Caenorhabditis elegans: one gene and its partners. The protein of the gene in region 2 purifies or fractionates together with the protein of the main gene of each other region. This does not show direct contact. Each region holds a gene or a part of one and is shown on either strand. Other genes may lie near its edges.

The links.
Region 1: the proteins of drh-3 (region 2) and dcr-1 purify together in Caenorhabditis elegans (affinity purification with mass spectrometry; 3 studies listed by BioGRID, with this or other methods). This does not show direct contact.
Region 3: the proteins of drh-3 (region 2) and rrf-1 purify together in Caenorhabditis elegans (affinity purification with western blotting; 2 studies listed by BioGRID). This does not show direct contact.

The regions. Positions count from the first base shown.
Region 1 is NC_003281.10:8,077,262-8,081,993, forward strand, and holds the start of dcr-1 (Death-promoting deoxyribonuclease), read right to left. Parts: upstream 3,021-4,732; 5' UTR 3,014-3,020; coding exon 2,963-3,013; intron 2,918-2,962; coding exon 2,755-2,917; intron 2,661-2,754; coding exon 2,527-2,660; intron 2,482-2,526; coding exon 2,322-2,481; intron 2,257-2,321; coding exon 2,117-2,256; intron 2,065-2,116; coding exon 1,693-2,064; intron 1,261-1,692; coding exon 1,078-1,260; intron 1,034-1,077; coding exon 905-1,033; intron 861-904; coding exon 618-860; intron 572-617; coding exon 417-571; intron 349-416; coding exon 1-348. Other genes in the region: apc-2 (Anaphase-promoting complex subunit 2), read left to right, coding at 3,391-3,443, 3,487-3,616, 3,751-3,883, 3,929-4,055, 4,099-4,342, 4,388-4,535, 4,585-4,702. UniProt on the Caenorhabditis elegans protein: Component of the ERI/DICER complex which is involved in processing amplified double-stranded RNA (dsRNA) intermediates during small-RNA-mediated gene-silencing or RNA interference (RNAi). Involved in cleaving dsRNA in the RNAi pathway.
Region 2 is NC_003279.8:7,819,083-7,826,843, forward strand, and holds drh-3 (Helicase ATP-binding domain-containing protein), read left to right. Parts: upstream 1-1,748; 5' UTR 1,749-1,760; coding exon 1,761-1,858; intron 1,859-1,917; coding exon 1,918-2,091; intron 2,092-2,344; coding exon 2,345-2,420; intron 2,421-2,467; coding exon 2,468-2,549; intron 2,550-2,594; coding exon 2,595-3,119; intron 3,120-3,306; coding exon 3,307-3,432; intron 3,433-3,478; coding exon 3,479-3,660; intron 3,661-3,741; coding exon 3,742-3,923; intron 3,924-4,120; coding exon 4,121-4,446; intron 4,447-4,882; coding exon 4,883-5,163; intron 5,164-5,206; coding exon 5,207-6,115; intron 6,116-6,554; coding exon 6,555-6,655; intron 6,656-6,711; coding exon 6,712-6,850; intron 6,851-6,897; coding exon 6,898-7,004; intron 7,005-7,106; coding exon 7,107-7,158; 3' UTR 7,159-7,296; downstream 7,297-7,761. Other genes in the region: D2005.4 (TPR_REGION domain-containing protein), read left to right, coding at 1-58, 118-123; D2005.7 (NAM-associated domain-containing protein), read left to right, coding at 497-686, 737-949, 1,091-1,155; glna-3 (Putative glutaminase 3), read right to left, coding at 7,409-7,761.
Region 3 is NC_003279.8:7,643,758-7,651,589, forward strand, and holds the start of rrf-1 (RNA-directed RNA polymerase), read right to left. Parts: upstream 6,021-7,832; 5' UTR 6,011-6,020; coding exon 5,903-6,010; intron 5,809-5,902; coding exon 5,650-5,808; intron 5,600-5,649; coding exon 5,279-5,599; intron 5,204-5,278; coding exon 5,081-5,203; intron 5,033-5,080; coding exon 4,889-5,032; intron 4,811-4,888; coding exon 4,631-4,810; intron 4,570-4,630; coding exon 4,303-4,569; intron 4,255-4,302; coding exon 3,712-4,254; intron 3,635-3,711; coding exon 3,455-3,634; intron 3,411-3,454; coding exon 3,048-3,410; intron 2,998-3,047; coding exon 2,886-2,997; intron 2,839-2,885; coding exon 2,381-2,838; intron 2,326-2,380; coding exon 2,124-2,325; intron 2,079-2,123; coding exon 1,807-2,078; intron 1,762-1,806; coding exon 1,582-1,761; intron 1,530-1,581; coding exon 1,394-1,529; intron 1,342-1,393; coding exon 815-1,341; intron 511-814; coding exon 261-510; intron 211-260; coding exon 91-210; intron 44-90; and 1 more. Other genes in the region: ego-1 (RNA-directed RNA polymerase), read right to left, coding at 6,910-7,076, 7,129-7,498, 7,548-7,832.

The DNA of each region.
Region 1 (4,732 bases), on a different chromosome or scaffold from region 2:
TTTCGTTTTGATGATCCAACTTTAGCAGCAATTCCAGGTGCATACTCATCCGGCTCCTCATCAATATGTTCTAATAATTTGGCAATCGACTCTCTTCCTTTTGGAAGTAAATTATCATCGAGTTCTCCTTCTAAATGTAATTGTCGACATGCTTCAAGTGCAACTGCCATCTGTGCAGTCTTCTTATTTGGCATTGGATTTTTGAGCACAATTGCATGTTTGATCGGTGAGTTAATTGGAAGAAGAAGCTCTGCACAGTATTTGGTCACTCCATTCTCTTCAATTGGAATGATTTGATTGTGTGGAACAAGACGAGTGAAGATATCGGAAGGAAGCTTCGAACAATATCTGGAAGATTACCAATTGTTTGTATTTAGCTGTTGGATTAAACTTCTAAAGTGAAATTATTAATATACCTATTAATTAATGCGATAGCAGTTGACATTTTCAATGTTGCACCAGTTTTTTCAACAACATATGGTTCCATTTGAGAATCAACATCAAATTCTTCAAATCTATCCGAATCATCTTCAATAGGATTGTTGACTGTACGATGGCGGCTAAGAAGAATCTTAATATCATTTTTTAAACAATTGAACTGAAGATTCCAATATTACTTTTTCTATTTGCTGGAAATCTTTCAAATCACTATCACACGCCGCAGTATCTTTCTCCTCAACAGTGATAACATATCTTGATCCAGCTCGCCGAGCTCTTCCCTTTGACTGAACGTATGATCTCATGTCAAGTGGTCGATCAAATTTAATCACAAGATTACATTGTTTAACATCTACACCTTCTTCAAGCACTGATGTAGCGATAAGACAATTGATTTCATTTCGATGGAAACGGCGAAGAACCTAAAAATTATATTTAGACAATGATAATTTAAACATAAATTTACTTCAGTTTGTCGTTTATGTAATCCTTGACTATCCGAACTCGCCAAATTTCGTCCGCTGGCTCCAACGACGTAATCCGGGTTCACAAACTTGAACTTAGGCTCCCATGATTTAATATGACGCATCATAAGCTGAAAATTTACAATATATTACCGTAACATTCATATAAACCTACAAGTAACGAATATGCAATGTACCGTTGATCGACAAAAATAATGGCTGATAAATGTTCTGCTTTTTCTAACTTCATTCGTTCTTTTTGAAATTCGGGGTTGAAAGTTTCTAGGATTTCGAAAAGACGTATGACACGTTGAGGAACATATGGACGGAGAGCTTCAATACTTTTGATTTTCTTCATCTAAATTGGAAAAAATTGGTGTAATTAATAGTTGATTGCTTACACTGGAAGTTGGAAAATGCTAACTTGGAGTTCAATATAGAATAGTAATTTTAGATTAAAAGTGTTATTGAGGATCATTCCAAAAATTCAGCTGCGTCCGAGCAGTTTCACCCCTTTTGAAAAAACTTTCAACTTAAAAAAAGTGTTTCCAAATATTCGTAAATTGTTTTTAAAAAACATATAGCATTCAAGCTTCAGCCCATAATTCTCAAAAAGCCATGAATTGAGCTACAATCTTACAATTTGAAATCTTGCTCAAGATTTGTAGCTCTCTTGGTGAGTAGGGAGTTACGAACTTTTTCGAATGATAACACTTTTTTGTCGAAAAATTGCTATACCATAACGATACTTCGAGGTACCATTTTCCAACGTCTCTTGTTAGGTACGCACCTCCGGTTCCAACAATCTTTTAATCGTAATCATAGATGTTTTTGCCATATTCAAAAACCGCAACGTCTTATCCGGTAGCACTTGAGATTTTATAATTTTTCCCAACTCTTTCTCCCAAACTTGAGCCGTTCGCCATGCCGCCCAAGGTCCCAGTTGACGAAAAACAGCTCGCGTCGTCTTGAGAGAATCTTTAATCGGTCTACGAGGATCCAAATCTAGATCTGGATGAAATTCTGTTGTGGTGTTCACAAAGGCTACAGTTTCATCAAATATTTCTATAACTGTGTCGAAATTCGGAATACCCAGGCACCCAATTTCAAAGTCTTTGCAGATGATCACAACTTCATAGGGTTTCGCACCGTATTTCGAGAGCTAAATTAGTTTTATTGGAAACAAGTCTTTGTTTGTCTTTTTTAAATCATACCGAGACTAAATCACTAGCTGTCTCTATAACACTGTCCATCGCAGATTCCAACTTTTTTAACTGTTCCATTAGTTTTTCCGGCGCAACTTTCGCTTTGATAAGACTGGCTGTGAGTCCTAATACACGTGGGACGGGTTTGTCTGAAAAAATATTTCCGTATTTTGAAGCGAATTCGAAGTTTCACCATTAATTCCTCAATACTTACCCTTTTTCAATAACTTATAATCGACCATGATGCTTCTGTATGGATGTTGAGAACCGAGAGCATGATGACATTCGTCAAAGATCAGAACACACATGTCTTCAATTTTCAAGTACGCATGTCGAATCAAATCAAGAAGGCATTGAGCTGTGATCACAACAACCTGAAATATATATGCTCGATAGTTCAGCTTCGTATTCTCACTCACATGGTGCCTCTTCATGAACTGATCACATTGTTCTTTGCTGTCCCATAAACCACTACTTGTCTGTCCGTGGACCTGACCAACTTTGAAACTTGTGTGAACTTCGATGTGGATAGCTTGTTGTTCAACGAGGTTTACTGGAAAAAATGATGTTTTAGAATAAATCTTGTTTTTTTTTGTCAATTATTCACTTTACTGGCCAGCTGGCTTATTTTTAATAGACGAAATTACCTTTCTCTACAACAAAAAACGCTCGTTTTCCACCCTGATCCAATGGTGCAAACAATTGAACTCCATATTCTTTCAGCAGTAGAACTGCAATGAAAGTTTTTCCTGAACCAGTGCCTAGTTGGACGATTGTGTTCTTTTTTGTCGCTTTATCCAAAAGTTCCACCTGAAAATCGATTATTTTTAATTTATTTTGCTACTTAAAAATTACCTGGTAGTCCCTGGGGTTAAAACATTGTAAATCAGCTCTTACCCTGACCATTATTGGTCTGAAAACAGGGAAAATTGATAATGTTCAAAAATTACAATAAAAAATAATTGCCGCTGACTGCCCCGTAGTATGCGCTCTACTGAACCAATGTCTATGTCTCTTTCATGGGAACATTCAAAAGACGGAGGAAAAGTGGAATCGACAGAAATTTGAAAGAAAATACTCTGAAAAATCGTGTGAAAAAAAAGAAACAAACATTTTTTCGTATAATTTTTAAAGGAACATTTATTCGCGGTTTTTGTGGAAATGTAGTTTCCGAGACCCCAACCTTCGTTTTAAGCATGATCCTTTAATATATACAGTTTCTCACACATTTGTCATCGTTCTCTTCTCGTATCCTTGCTGAAATTATTTTAACCATTTCGAAAATGTCCATTTTTGACAGAATGACTACTTCGAAAGAGGCTGCGATGAAGTACAGGTATGGAATTTTTGAAAATGAGTTCCGTAAAGACAGTTTTCAGACAATTTTGCGTCTCAAAGAAAAAAGAAGTCTGGGATGCTCTGATATATCACGCAAAATACGCAAAAAATATTGAAAAAGTTTATGATATGACGACAGTTCTGCAACGAGTACAGCAAGAATGCCTGATGGTGAGTTTTAAAATTTTTAAATCCAATCAAGAACAAATTAGCCTTATTCTCAATTAAATGCTCTGAAAAATCTTCTCCTTATGGAAAACGGTCAGAAAATAGAGGTGTAACAAGCTAATGGAAAATAATTTCAGTTTGCATTGGAAAAAGGCGTTGGTCAACCGGATATTCGCGATGCTGCAGAGCTCATCTTCCCACTGGCCATGCAGAAAGTTGTTATCAAAGTTCTCAGACCTTATTTTATGTCGCACTTCACTAATTACAGACGTATTTTTTTTTCATTCAGCCCCAGTTTCCAATAACATTTTTCAGTTGCCATGTACCTTCCTCATCGAAAAATCGATCATGGAATCGATTTAAACCAAGAGCTGTGGACACCAGAAAAAAAAGAAATATGCGGGCAATATGTTCAAGATTTTAATCCTTTTGTCAATGAATTGTGGGTAAAGCCTGACTTCCTAAATTATATATAACATTTTCAGAAAAACTGGAATTCTCAATGCAAATCGTCACATGAACGCAGCACTTTCAGTGTATATTCGCGAGCTTGCTGCAACATTGGTGATGCACGAGAAAGCGGCTTTTGACAATGAGCTGAGATGTTCAATGTTTCAAGAAATTATGGAGAGTCTGAGGATTTGGTCAGATCAAGTAACAATGCAAGACGCATTCCATTTAATTAGTGACACTATTTACAAAGATGTCTTCCAAATGCTTTCCAAAAACGTGAGTTTTTAAAAAAATTTGGAACCTAAAAAATATTTTTTGTAGGCATATGAAATGATCGCCGTAGATTTTCCAGTAAAATTTCGCAGTCTCATCACAATGAAATATTGCCTTTTGAGAACTAATAATCATGGGAGAGTCGATTTCACAAATTACTTGATAGATCAAGTTAACACAAAACTTCTTGTTGCATGTAAGTTGGTGAGGGGAATTATTTAAAACTTAAATATTTAAAATTTCAGCGGTTGATACAAAAGACATTTTGAAAGCTTATGCGGCGTGCGTAGAATCTCTTCGTGAAATGGACAATAGTTGCGTGGTTATGCATAAAGTTTGTGGAGTTATCAGAGAATATTTGAAGTAAGCTATTTCCTGATTGTTTAATTATAT
Region 2 (7,761 bases):
TGAGCCAGTAATCAATGAAATTTATCGGCTACGCGAAAAACACGGCTACTCGAACAAGGTAATTTATTTTTTTAGAAATGCCGTTAAATAATTCCAATAACTGAGTTTATTTTCCAGATGTAATCTTCGTGCAATACTTGTAACATATCACAAATGCATTCATCATCGTGATGAGTTCAACAGTTTTATTCAAAAATTTTGAAAATGCTCAAGTGACGAACTTTTTTTCTTTTTTTTTTTGTTAAGATTATTTCATTTCCCTTTAAAATTTTCTCTATAGAGCTATAGTATCGTTGTTCGTGTTTTCTAATAAACGCTTTAAAGTTTTGTTCTATAGGTTTTTATTGTTATCCAATATTGGTTTTAACCAGAAATATGCACTACATGTTATGACACTTTTCATATTAGTATTACTTTTTATTGTTTAACACGTTAACTTTACCGAGGTTTTGCAGCCCTACCCGTGTCCTATTTTATGCTGATATTCATCTTCCAGATGGGCAACAAAAAAAATAAATCAAGTGGGTCCCGAAAGAATCATTCTCAGCATTATTCTCAGCCAACAATGACCGTAGAGGAGTGCTTGAAGGAGTACGAGAACACAGGAAATTTCGCCAAGTTCTACCCGAATTACATTTTCCAACGGTTGCCAAAAGAGTTCCTCCAAAAATACTTAGCCTCTAAAAGTTCGTTTTACAAGAAAAGTTGACAAGTTTAACAACCTTCGCAATTTCAGAAAATAAAAATATTTCTAAAAATCCATCACTAAGTTGTTCAAACTCTACATTGGACAATATGAAAGAGACGTCGAAAAGTATCTATGTGGACGTGGATCCAGATGATCCTCTCTCCGATGAAGCATTCACTGCTCAACATCCTGTGGAAGAATGGTTTCGACTTCCTCTCGAATGGCGCATTGAGATCGAAAGGCAGCGTTTTGTGAAAAAAGGTATTTTATTCATGGCTAGAAAATTAATCCTACAAAAAACCGCTTAAAACTCGATTTTTGAGTAAAGAAAGAATTTAACAATTTTTCATATGGATAATTTATTAAATATCGAAAAAAAGCATTTCTCTTATTTTCTTTCAGAACGCGCCGACCGTGCTGCTGAAGCTGCCAGGAACTCCGCTGAACTTCTAAAGCCAGACGCTTAAAAGTGCATCAACGATTCGTTTTAACGTTGTAAAATGTTATTTTCGATGTTTTCTTTTCATCCAGTTATTCGTATTAATTTGCCATTCATCAGCTGAAATTCATCCCAACAACCTGCCGAAAGAATTTTATTTTCTGTTCTATCTTTCAAATTTCCTTTTCTTTTCTTCATTTTCTGTTGGCAGCTGCTCGTATTTCCATCACCGGTTCCCGTGAATTTGCAGTTTTAATGAAAGTTTTATTCTTGTTTTAAATATTATGATTTTATTTTCTCACAAGGTTGAAGAGCCAAAACATTTATTTATGTTGTAGAATTTAAATACTAATTTTATTGATTCCGCCGTTGCTCATCGTTAAATATTGAATACTGAAACCAAAACTTCCCTTCCTGACACTACTTGCCCTTCTTTAACACTAATAATGGTTTTCTGTTCATTCATGTATTTCCCTCTTAACTTTTTATCATTGGCAAGAGGAAGAGAAAATCATTAATGTGAAAACCTCTGCCACACTTGTTTATATTTTGTGCGCCAGTTTGAACAACATGTCTTTTTGTCGTTTTGTCGGCAAAATTTAATTTAATAATTTCCTACAGATATTTTCGATAATGCAACCAACTGCAATACGTTTAGAAGATTACGACAAATCGAAGCTTCGCCTTCCGTTTGAGTCTCCATATTTTCCAGCGTATTTTCGTCTTCTCAAGTAAGAAAATTATACATTTCCCCCCTTGCACTCGATCAAATAATTAAATATTATTTTAGATGGAAATTCCTTGATGTATGCGTGGAGAGTACACGAAACAACGATATCGGATATTTCAAACTATTTGAATCGCTGTTCCCGCCAGGAAAATTGGAAGAAATTGCCAGAATGATCATTGACGAGCCAACTCCAGTTTCTCATGACCCGGACATGATTAAAATCAGAAATGCCGAGTAAGACGACAGAGAAATCATGTATTAGAAAAACGTTCCAACGAAAACAATTTCTTCGGTGTTATCTATATCTGTGACGGCAAGGATGTCGAAACGGAGTTTTGAAAACATAAAATTGTTTTAATGACTTAAATTTTTATAAAAAGTTTAAATATCGTGAGTTTTCGAGTCACAGAAGCTTAAAAGGTCAAAAAAAAGTATTATGGTGTCTGGAATTTTCGTGCCATATTTTTTTTAAATACCAATTTTTCAGTCTCGACGTTAAAATCAGAAAACAGGCAGAAACATACGTTACATTGCGTCACGCACATCAGCAGAAAGTTCAAAGGGTAAAAACACTTTTGAAAAACATTTAATAAAATAATTTTTATTTCAGAGAAGATTCTCGGAATGTTTTTTGAACACTGTTTTGTTCGATGAGAAGGGACTCAGAATTGCTGACGAAGTGATGTTTAACTGTAAGTAATCGTGAAATTTCAAACGTTTTGAACTGTAAAATTCAGACGATAAAGAACTTTATGGATACTCACACTGGGAAGATCTTCCTGATGGCTGGTTAACTGCTGAGACTTTCAAAAATAAATTCTACGATGAAGAGGAAGTTACCAATAATCCATTTGGATATCAGAAGCTTGATAGAGTGGCTGGAGCTGCACGTGGAATGATTATTATGAAGCATCTGAAATCGAATCCACGTTGTGTTAGTGAAACTACAATTCTCGCTTTTGAAGTATTTAACAAAGGTAATCATCAACTATCAACTGATTTGGTCGAAGATTTGCTAACCGAAGGACCAGCGTTCGAGCTGAAAATCGAGAATGGAGAAGAGAAAAAATATGCTGTGAAGAAATGGAGTCTTCATAAGACTCTCACCATGTTTCTCGCAATCATCGGATTCAAATCGAATGACAAAAAAGAGAAAAATGAACACGAAGAGTGGTATTACGGATTTATTGATGCAATGAAGAATGATCCAGCTAATCGAGCGGCTCTCTACTTTTTGGATAAGAACTGGCCAGAAGAGCTTGGTAAGTTTTTTTTTGTTTGGAAATTAAATAGCGGCAAACATTTTGTACTTCAGATTTCAAAATACTGAAATTATTTTAATACAATTTTAAATAATGCCTAACTTTTTATTATTCGGCCATCTCATGCTATTTGATGTATTTTACGAATTTCGATTTACAATCTAGGCTTAACTAAATCAATTTTCAGAAGAACGAGAGAAAGAACGTGACCGTATCCGCCTTACCCTACTGAAAAGTCAGCGGACTAACGAGGAAGCTGTCGGCGAGGATGTTTGCACGACAATACGTCCACAACCGAAAGACAGCGGCTACAGTAAGATTATATTTCCAACATTTAGTGCAAATTTTCCTTTTTCCAGATCCAGATGCGGTGGTTACTGAACTTGTATTGCGTACTTATCAAGAAGAACTTGTCCAACCGGCTCTCGAAGGAAAGAATTGTGTTATTGTTGCTCCGACTGGTTCTGGTAAAACAGAAGTGGCAATTTATGCGGCTCTCAAACATATTGAAGAACGAACATCCCAAGGAAAGCCTTCCAGAGTATGTTTTTTTTTTAATTTTCTCGTCAAGTTCTAATATTATTTCCCCTTGATATAGAAGCAATAAAATTTTATTTTCCAGGTTGTGCTCCTTGTGCCGAAAATCCCGCTTGTCGGTCAACAAAAAGACAGATTCCTGAAGTATTGTAACGGAATGTACGAAGTTAATGGTTTTCATGGATCCGAGAGCAGTGTCAGTGGAACAGGACGTCGTGATGAAGTAATTGCTACTCATGTATCAGTTATGACTCCTCAAATTCTGATGTGAGTTAATGGAATCAGGTTCATTAAATTCTGAATCGAAAATTTCTGATATAACTCATTAATTTTTTATTTTACTTTTTTTTTTCAAAAAAAATTATAAATTATAAAAAGAGTGCAATTTTAATCAAGATATATAAAATGTTTAATTTTTTCGGATCGAGCTCTGGTTTTTATAATACCCGAACTAATTATTTCAGCAACATGCTTCAATCGGTACGTCAAAATGAGCGTTTGTATGTGAGTGATTTCTCAATGATGATCTTCGATGAAGTACATAAAGCTGCAAAAAATCATCCATATGTGTTGATTAATCAAATGGTTCAAGAATGGAAGTATGAAAAACCACAAATCATTGGTCTGACAGCTTCATTGAGTGTCAAAGTTGATGGACAAAAAGACGAGAATCAGATGCTTAATGATATTTATAATATGCTCGCATTGATCAACGCTCCACATTTGAGTACAATCACTCGCCAATCGAGCATAGATGAGCTCAATGAGCATGTTGGAAAACCAGATGATTGTAAGTTTGTTCTCAAGTTGGAAATTTAGTTTTTTTTTTCTTAAAAACCATAAATAAATTTTAAAATACAAATAAGATAAATTTCTAGGTGTATCAAATTATAAAAATATTTATTTTCAAGTTTACACAGTTCAAAAAAATTTGAAAATTGTAAATTGTTCTTGTAAAATGAAAAATGGTTTCTAAATGAAGTGTTGTAAACAGGAATTGAAAAAAAAAACCTTCGGAAGCTGAAAACCCACTTTAGAATCAAAACCACGGTATTGAAATTTCCTTTGTTTTCCCTTATTTCTCATGGTATTGTTTAACTTCAAGCTAATCCGGCAATTTCAAAGTAAATTCCTCATTTACTCTATTCCAAAAATAACCAATTACTTGTTTTCTCTTCGGAATATGAAATTTCATGAGAGAATTATTTCAAAAAAATTCTTCTCAGCTGTCGAACTATGCTTGCCTGCCAAAGAAAATATCCTTCGAGATTACATCGAACGATACCTTAACCACGCCCATGGCAAATTTCTCGAAGAATTAGCAAGCATGTCTAAATCAACTGGCCGCAACAACACTATCCCACCGAATATGATTAACACGTTTAAAAAGAATCAACCGAAGAATTATGAGTACTACGATTCATTACTTCAAGGTATTATTCAAGAGTTGAACAAATTGAATGTTCCTGAGAAATGGAATTCTCAAACTTGGGCGAAATACATGAAGGTTTGATTCATTTTCAAAGATTCTTGTAAATGAAATGATTTAGGTATATCTCGAAGCTCGCGGAATCGTTGATCTGATGCCTGCGATGGTTGCATTCAAATACATGGAAAAAGCTATTGGGAAATTGAATGAAAGTCATTCAGAGACAGTCGAATACAGCACCTTCATCAAAGACCATGATACTTTGAAACAAACAATTCAATCCGTTGAACCAGAAATTGTTCTACGTCTCAAGAATACACTCACCAATCAGTTCCACGTGGCTCCTGAATCTCGAGTTATTATTTTCGTAACACAAAGAAGCACCGCTCAACGTGTCAGTGATTTCTTGAACGAATCTAAAGTTTTAGATCAATTTGGTAATTATGGTGAACAAATGGTTGGATATGTTCTCGGAACAAACAAACAGGGCGCTGTACAGCAGACTTCACAAGAACAACAATTGACACTTGATAAATTCAACAATGGAAGACTTAAAGTAATTGTGGCAACGTCAGTTGTTGAAGAAGGTCTCGATGTTACTGCATGTAATCTTATTATCAAGTACAACTGTTCATCAGGATCAGCCATTCAACTTGTTCAACAAAGAGGTCGTGCACGTGCCAAAAACTCTCGTTCTGTGCTTTTATCAGTGAAGAGTAGTATCAATGAAACCGAGACTAACGCGTTAATCTCTGAAAAGTATATGAGACTTTGTGTGAAGAAGATCACAGAGAATGGCGAGAAACAATTGGCTGCAGAAGTGAAACGAGTCGCTGAACTAAATGCGGCTGAAAGGAAACGAAATCTGGAAGAGCAACTCAATTTGAGATTACGACATGAGAATAAGATTTATAAATTGATGTGCAGCAATTGTTCAAAAGAGTTCTGCAAGAGTATTTATATCAAAAAAGTGTTCTCGAATTACATGGTGTTCGATCCAAGTGTATGGAGATTTTTGCATGTTGAATCGGTACGTTTGATGAATGCTCAAAAACCGGAGCCGGCTTGTCGAAAATATAATTTTAATGAATTTTGTAAGATTATACTCGTAGACCAGGGCTGTAAAACCATTTTCCCAAAAAACCGAAACCTAAAATTTCTCAAAAAAAAAGACAATTAAAAAAATTTCTGTCACTAAAAAATCGTTTTAAAGTAAAAAAATCGCTTTATTCATCTGAAATTAACTTATTCAGGTTGAAACATTTATAAAGTGCTTAAAAATTACCTGGAAGTGTCGAATTGCCGATTATCAAATTGCTGAATTTCCGAACTTTGCTTTCCGACAATTGACTTTCAGGCTATTTTTGTGCAATTTCCAGATGTTTCAAGTAAATGTTTTTTTCAGCTAAGCCGACTTCTGTTTATCATAGAAACGCAATTTGTGATTGTGAAAAATTGAATTTTTTCAGAAGCGAAAGGTGAGTAAGTACTTGAGTGAGGACAATCAACCACTCAGTGATATCAAATGCTTCCATTGCAAGTTGGATGTTGGAAGAGCTTACAAAATAAGGTAATTGAAATTTAATTTATTTAAAAGTCGTTTCTTATAAAACAACATTTCTACAGAGGAACCTATTTGCCGCAACTCAGTGTCAAGGCGTTGACATTTGTTCAAGAATCAGACTATTCCTCGATGACAAAAGCAAAATGGTCGGATGTGGAACAGGATCTGTTTTATATTTCAGAAGCAATCGAGGATGACTTTGTAAGATTTTGGTCACTTGATTATTTAAAAATTGTACGAATTTACAGAGAATCATGTTGAATGCGCTCTCCGATACTGAAGAAAATATCGAAAAGAAGATTGTTCTTGATTTGGACTCACGACAACACAATAAGCAACTCGAGATGAAGAGATTGTAAGTGTGCTCTGGATTGTGATTCCTTTTCTGTTTAACACTTTCGAAGCTCAAAAAATACGGATAAACTCTCTATTATCATAATAATGCTTTCATTTTCAGCCATATTCAACAAGAACCACCAACGAAGGGAGTTGCACCAGAAGCTCAATGATCATCTCAAGGATTTCCAACTTGTACGAGAATTCAATTTTTCTTAATCTTTTTTGTTATTTTAATATCATTCATCGTGTTCTATTTACCGAGCAATTTTCATTCGATCTCTTGAATAATATAAAGCTCTATTTAGTTTTATTTTTTTAATTGATCTTTCAATTTTTCTTCCAACAATTTGACTGTAAATTAACAAATGACAAAAAATGGAATGATTTATTAATTTAAATCAATTTCTAGAACATCTATTCCTAATCATCTTGTCCTTTAAGATTGTAAACCGTAATTGCCTCTTCTAGCAGCTTAACACAAGCAGTATGATTAAAATGTTTAGCATCATCCAATGGAGTTCTATCATATCTATCACATGGATTCGGATCCTCTTGCCATTTACTCAATACGTATTCCAATGTGACAACGTCTCCTTCAGCAGCAGCCACGTGTAAAACTGTTCGATCATCATAATCTTTGCAATGAATATCATGTCCCATCAAAAGGAATCGTTTAATTGCAGCAATATCACCCAATTTTGTAGCATACATGAAACGATTCTGACCGTCATGATCATCTTTCAATTGACGACGAGGATCGATTTTCTTATTAT
Region 3 (7,832 bases), 180 kb from region 2:
TGAATTGATTCGAGAGTTCCGGAGACGGAGACGATGTAACGAACTGAAAACAATTATTTTATGCTACCAATATGAAGAGTTTTTAATTACCTGTAGTCTTTGGTTTCGCCTTATCGTTTATCGGATTTTTCTCCTGTCGCCGCATCTTTACAGTTGAAACATTTGTGTGTTTCTTCATATTATTGATCAGATCATTCACATTTATATTTTCTAAATGAAAAAAAACTCAATTTTTTTTATTTCCAAAAGATTTTACATACCGGGTAACTCGATAACAAATGGTTCACACTCTCGATCCATCGTCTCAGCTGTAATTGTTGGATCAGATGATACTGGAAGCTCTTCAAAACGTAGATTAAACAGAATATTGTAGTAGGTTTTGAGAGCTGATTCATGGAATATTCGCCATTCTCCACGCATAAAAATCGATGAGAAGTTGAGAGGACAAAAGGATAAAGTCGACATTTTTCTGAACTTCCGACATCCCATAAATTGGAAGAATTTGACCATCTGAAAAAAATACACAATTCGGCTTTGAATTTCTCGCCAATGTTGGACTACAAATCATACAGCTGAATGGACTTATGTCAACTTTGATGAATCGAAAATTCAAGTTTTTTTTGTTTTATATTCGGTAAAATTTCAACTTTTCTACAATTTCCTATAATTTCTCTATATATTTCAATGAATTTTTTATTTTTGTTATCAAAATATAGATGTTTATAGACAAAATTCAAAGGTTTCTCTTCTTTTTTCATACTTTTTCGAAGAAATCGAAAAATCGACGATGTTCGATGACCCCCTTATTCCTTACCATATCTGATCTTTTTTTTTCAGTAAGTGGATCGATATTGCCTCTCGATGAATCTCTTTTCTGTTTCTCATATTCTTCTTTTTCAATTATTTTGAAAAACGGTTCTGCATTTCCATCAGCAGATGCCAATTGTCGTGTTGCAAAAAGAATGAACATGAGGAAAAAGTGATAAATCTTGATTGGTTTTCCATCAAACAATCGTAATGATTCTCCCCATCGCATTAACATGAAGAACACAGAGTCCAACCCTGGTATCATCTCCAGATATATTTTCAGAATGGAAATCGCTTCTTTTGATTTTTCACCGGTAATTAGATGATCGAGTTCACAGAAGTTCTTGAAATCCGCATCGTGATCAATCAAATATTGTTTTCGATGCTCTTCTAGGAAAGTGTACATGGGATTTGCTCCACCAATCTGCATTCTTTCGTTATTCAATACATTAGTCTCCTTGACTTTGGCAATGACGTCATATGCAATCCAAGCAAATGAAAGCTTCCGAACTTCTCTCGTGGATTGAGCACACTCTACAAAGAAATTACAATAGTTCAAAAAATTGAAACAAAAAAATTGAATTACCGTAACAAGCTCGATACCAGGCAACAGCTTTCTTTCTGACCTCCTGATCTGGATCTTCGCAACGGTAATTGAGACAGTTGCCGTTATCGTAAGCATTTGGTAAAAGTGTACATTTTACTGTGAATCCACCAAATTCCTGATAATGGCATAGAAATTAAAAAATAAATAAATATTGAAATAAACTGTACCTCGAAGAACGTTTCTCTGAATTTGCACACTAAAGATGTCATTTTTGTTTCAATCATTTGATTAGTGTTGTAGAATGACATATCATCTTGGTCTTTATCCGAAATTCGATTTCTCATTTCGACAATGCATCCTGACATGATTTCACCTTCCGACCGGATACCGTAGTTTTCCATAATAGACTGTAAAATTTGGGTATTTAAACTTTACTCAGCCTTCAAACTAACCCTGAGTTGTCCGTTGTAACTGGATAATTGTTTTTGAGCACTTTCCATATATCTCTCAAAACCAGTAACAAAGATAGTCTCATCCAGTTCAATATTATATTGTTCATCCCTTTCTTCAGAGATCTTGATAACATTGTCAATTGCTTGAAACTCTCGGAATAGTTTTCCACAAAGCCTTGGACTGACATACATCGGACTTCGTTCATTTCCCATATGAAAGTCAGGAATTCGCTCAGGATTTTCAGGAGGGATAACTTCGAATGTTACGGGATCTGAAAATAGGTAGTTACACCATATTCATGAATACGCATACGTACCGGCCCTCCATTTCGTTTCCAATGGATCTGGTGGTTGTCCAGACTTTGTGAAATCAACAGCTTGGCAATTCTTCTTTGCCAAATCCATACAAACTCTCGAATTCAGCCCATATTGGTCAGAATTGTGAAGATGACTGTTCGAGATTTGTCCAACGGAGTCTAATTTCAGATATGTGACATAAAACTCACGCATCAAGACGTCCTAAATTTGATATTACACCAAAGTTTAAAAAAAAAATGAACAAAAAAAAACTAACAAGCTTCTCTCTATCATATGGTACTTTAATCTTTTCAACAGCAAAATCGAAAGGTTCTTCATTTCTTTCAAGAAGTAATTCCTGATCCCAAATAACAGAATATTCATCTCCATCCAAATCGGATCCAGCCATTTCATCAGGATGAGGCCTCGGTCCATGTTGTGGGAATACTACTACATCACACATGTGATGAAGTTCTGGAATATCGACAGCCTCGAAAATCCGAACATCTCCGGGGACAATACAAGGGTTTTTAGTGAGCAAAACGGTTCCTGTGACAATCTCACTTCCATGAACTTTATTGTTGGAATCTCGCGGTGGAAGTTTTTTCTTGTAATTTTTCGTGTATTGAACGAAGATTTGTCCGTATTGTAAACGTCCAGTTTCATCAACTACTCCGAGCATAGATCGACCAAGTTCACTGGGAATTTGAATTTGCTCTTTGCAAAGCTGTTTCGCTGAAAATAATAAAATTGAGAAATTGAAAACAATTCGGAAAACTCACTGATTGAGAACTTGATGGATGCCTTGATTAGGGAACGGAAGAATGGCTCACTAGACAATGTAAATCCCCACATTGTTCTCAAGTTATCAATATCAATACGACGTGGAAACTCCTGAAAGAGTTCCAAATAAAAAGTTTCATTATTTCATGTTTCAGACAAACCTTTAATTTGTTTCTACAAAAGGTCTCCTCATTCATCTGTTTGGCAAATGACAAGATCTGACGATCCATCAATTCCTCAATTCTGCTCGTAATTCTTTTATGACAATCCAACGATTGCATTTCGGAAACTTGATCAAGAATATTGATGAATGGTTTATTGAGAGCAACCAATACCGCTGACGAGAACTTTACCATTTCGATTTGGTCTCCCGAAATAGCCTTAGCTTGGAATTTAATTTGACTTGGACGGAACAAACATTTCGCCATTTTCATCGAAGTAACACCGTTCACAAGTGCCCATTTACGAATTTCATCCAGAAAGGGTTCAATAGCGATGACTCCTTTATTTCCGCGGAATCGAATCTGCAAAAACTATAGTTACCTAAGTTCACACGAAATTAATTTACCTGGAAGCAGCTAGGAACAGCTTTTCCAAATTGCATCGCTTGGGATACTTCCTGTGCAAATTGATAGCTCATCATTCCAACTCCGTCAGAAAATGTATACTCGCTTCCGTTTGTCGCTCGTCCACCAGTCAAATCGTACGTGCTACAGTAATCATCTCGTCCAAGTCCGACACCGGTTAGCTGAAATTCATACTTGTATTATGATGGAAAGTTATCACTAAAAAATCCATGAAACTGAATAAAAATTAAAAACATACCCTGCTCTGAGTGAAGCATTGACCCAATCTCGCCATCAACTTAGGAACATTTTCAATTTCCGAGAATCTTCCTAATTGAAATCGAACTTCGTCGATTTTCGGCTTGAAGTTTATATTCGATGCTGTCGGATTACATTTGTAGAAGCGATCAAGCTGCTTGTCTGTGAATCTCATCATGAAATATGCTCCATTGTCTCTCATTTGTGAATTTGAGCATCCCAAGAAACCATATTCACGATTTGCAATTCGAACTCCGTGCTCCAAATACTTGTTCGCCGTCCTGTCGAGAAGTTTACCCGTAACATTTGATCTCATTTTCTTATTATTATCATCTCGAAATGTTACTCTAAGCACCCGGGTGCCATCTTTATCGAATTTCCGTAGAACTCGATTTCCCATGATCGTCTCTGGTGCAATGTAGATGACTCTCGTAGGTGTGAAGATAACTTTTCGAACTCGTTGATATCCTTCTATGCTCTCCTTTTCTGTTAAACCATTAACCAGTTTCATAACCTCACGTTTTTGGCAAATTTTATCTAGGCACTGAAAAATTTTTAAAAAAATTATCAAAAAATATGCAAAAAACACAACCTTCAAAATTGATCCGATTCGCTTTCTACCATCAATTAAATGAACGAGATCTTCCAAGGCAGCTTCACACAGTTGATTATCATTCCTGTAGTACCAAATGATAATTTCCAGGAAATTTTTCCAATGTTGCTCATTCAGTAGTAGTTGATCTTTCACAATAGCTCCCCGTGACAACAGACATTCAATCAAATATGTGATAGAAAACTTCCGTTCCTCATTAACATCAATCAATTTATCATCTACTATTTCATATTTCGGTGGGAATATCTGCAAAAATTGATACTCAGATTATTGAGGCAATTCTTTGTTTTTTTAAAGACTAACTCACCTCTTTCAGAAACTCTCTAAAAATGGGCGCATTTGAGTCGGTCGGCGATTTCTTCAAATTCCACCGGTTGTATGGATAGTGACTGCCCATCGGAACATCAATGCTCGGAAGATTCGCAAATTCAATCAGAACTTTGGTTCGAGACCTCAGACGAGACAACACACGATACATTTCTTTTGTCTGAATTAGAGAATAATAATAATAAAAAACGATGCTTAATCATCAAAATCTATCATAAAACAGTAGAAAATAGCTCACTGATATTTCTTTATGGAACTCAATTGTGAAGAAAGGACTATCTGCGATGGCAGCATCTTGTGGATTACCATGATTAACATTTCCATTTCTCCAATCACAATCGAACCGTTTCTGACGCTCATAGAAGGGTTTATGAAACGATGACTAAACAATTAGAATTGTTATAAAAATCTGTGATCAATATTAAATTACCTTATCATTATCAATATATCCTTTCCTGATGAGTGGGGGACAATTAACTTCAAAATGAACACATGTGTTGCATCCTTCAACTCGTGGATCGACAATAATTCGACGAATTGAATCCCTTCGAATCTGAATTTTTGAATTTAATTAAATTTTAAGAAATTCTCCCAGTATTGGATTTGATAGCTACAGCTAAACACTTACTGTTAATTGATAGTTCACTCGAACTTTTTGTTTCCTCGAATCCTCAAACTTCTGTTTCTTCTCCTCGAAACATTGAAATTGTACTGTTATCATATCAGTTTTATCGAATTCAAATTCGGCGTGTATCTTATGCAACATATCTCTTGACGATATGTTTTCGCGTGAAAATGAAACCTGCCAATGATTGAAATATGTGCCTCCTTGTATATTTCCAAAATAAATCGCAGCAAGTGGAATCTCTGTGTGACAATCGAGAGTTCTCAACCAAAAATCGGAACCATGAAGGACAATGTTAGGCCGCTGATACGGAACGTACACATTCTGAAAATAAAATTAATTCGAAATCGTCCAATATGAATTCAAGTACTCACCAAATCTGATAAATAATCGTGCATAGCATCTATAATTGTGTGATCAAACTGTTCGCTCTCAACTTCAAAGTTTATTTCAAAGAAGCAATCGCAGTCCTGTTCTTCAACAATTTGAGTTTCTTGACGGGATTTGATTTCGATTTCGTATTTACGAAGAACCTAGAAATATCATAATAATTATTAAAACAAGCGTCATTTTTTTAATCGAAAAATGTCCAAAAAATGAATTAAAATTCTCAAAACCATGACGCACTGAAGTAAATGTCAGTAACATTGTATCGATACTTCCTTCGATGACTTGAAGCGAGTTATCGAATTCCGGAAATTCAAATTTAATGAATCCATGACTTCGTTCCGACATGACGAGGAGTCTGAAAAATTTTATACAGATAAATTTTAATGGCCAACGCACGAAAAACAAGGTTTTATGGAAGACAAACAAAAATAAAGATTTTTTAAATTTGCCATCGATCAATTGGATATTTAAATTTTTACTGTTATACAACTAAAAATAACTATAAATTAGGTTCTCATTAACCTTCACTTTGAAATTTACAAAAACATTTTTTGAAAGTTAACAACCCGCTGAAATGCAAAAATCGGTTCACTGAAAAAGACGCTGCCCGTCGGAGACGCAGACAGCTGAAAAAGACACTGTGGTGACAATGCAACAGTGAGCAAGTATCGTGATTATTATTCCGTAATTTTATTTACGGAAACTCATTTAAAACTATTTTCTAATAATAAAGAAATTTAATTTCATCTCGGAAAATTGAGCACCTTTAAAAAGTTGTATATTTAAAATGTTTTAAAATTTTTCTGATCAAAAACAACTGCATTTCAAAAATGTTGATTTCAGTCGAGAAGGAAAAAAGTTCGATAGTTTGGTCCAAAATTCAAACAAAATCGACAGCATTTCAATTTTTCAAGAAATCTGGCTATATTCTATCCAATAGGAAAATCATGTACGAAAAAACGCATATAACAAATAAAATACAAATATCGGATTCGTAATAAAACAGACAATTCATTGAAACAGATAACCGAAACGCTGAAAACGATGAAAAGAAGGAGAAACCTATCCATTTCAATCAATCAGCAAAAGAAACAACAGGAAAATATAATGAGAAAAAGAAACAGAAATAAGCATGCCAATTAAAACATGCAAAAAAAAAACAGAAAAATAAAATTTAAAATGAAAACCATATTAAACATTTAAAATCTCTGAAAACACTGCTAAAAACGAATAAGAGAAACATTCTAGATGTTGATGTGTCCTCTGACAATCTTTTCATAGCACAATCGAGCCATCTGTGTAGACACATCTTGTCCCGTTACGTACGTTTTGATGGGAACTTTTACAGCAACCAGTTGACGCAACTTGTACATTGACTCGAGAGTTCCACGTGTAGAAACCAGAAGACGCACTATAATAATTTGAAAATTAAATCTGTTTACCATTCGATTTTGTTAACTCACTATTGATTTTTTGCACATCATCCGAAGAGCGAACTGATTTCTCCATGTTTCGCATGAATATCTCTTTTACACCAGTATGCTCTACCAGCTTGCGATGAACCAATGAACGATCACAATTGGCTGGTAATTCAATCACGAACGGTTCGTTTTCTCGAATTATTGAACGAACTGTAGTTGTTGGATCAGTTGACACAGGAAGTTCTTCGAATCGTAAATTGAATAACACGTTGTAGTAGGTTTTGAGTGCGGCCAAATGGAAAATTTGCCATTCTCCTCGCATGAAAATTGATGAGAAATCAAGAGCACAGAATGAGAGATTCGCCATTTTTCGGAACTTTCGCGAGGCCAAAAATTCGAGAAACTTCACCATCTGAAAACAGTCATTATTATAAAAAAAATAACACAAATATTCTTCTCACCATCTGACTTTTTCCTTTTTCCTCAATATATAAACTGGGCTCAAAGTCTCCAATTGTTTTACTCTGCTTGTAACTTTTCTCATCGACCTTATTGAAGAACTTGGCAGCATTTCCATCAACGGAAGAAAATTGCCTTGTAGCAAACAGGATAAATAGCAGTGATAAATGATATTCTCGAAGTGATTGATTTTCAAATAGATTTGAAATCCGTGCCCATTCGTCTAACATGAATAAGACTGCATCCAATCCTGGATAAGTTTCTGTGTACATTTTGATGATTCTATG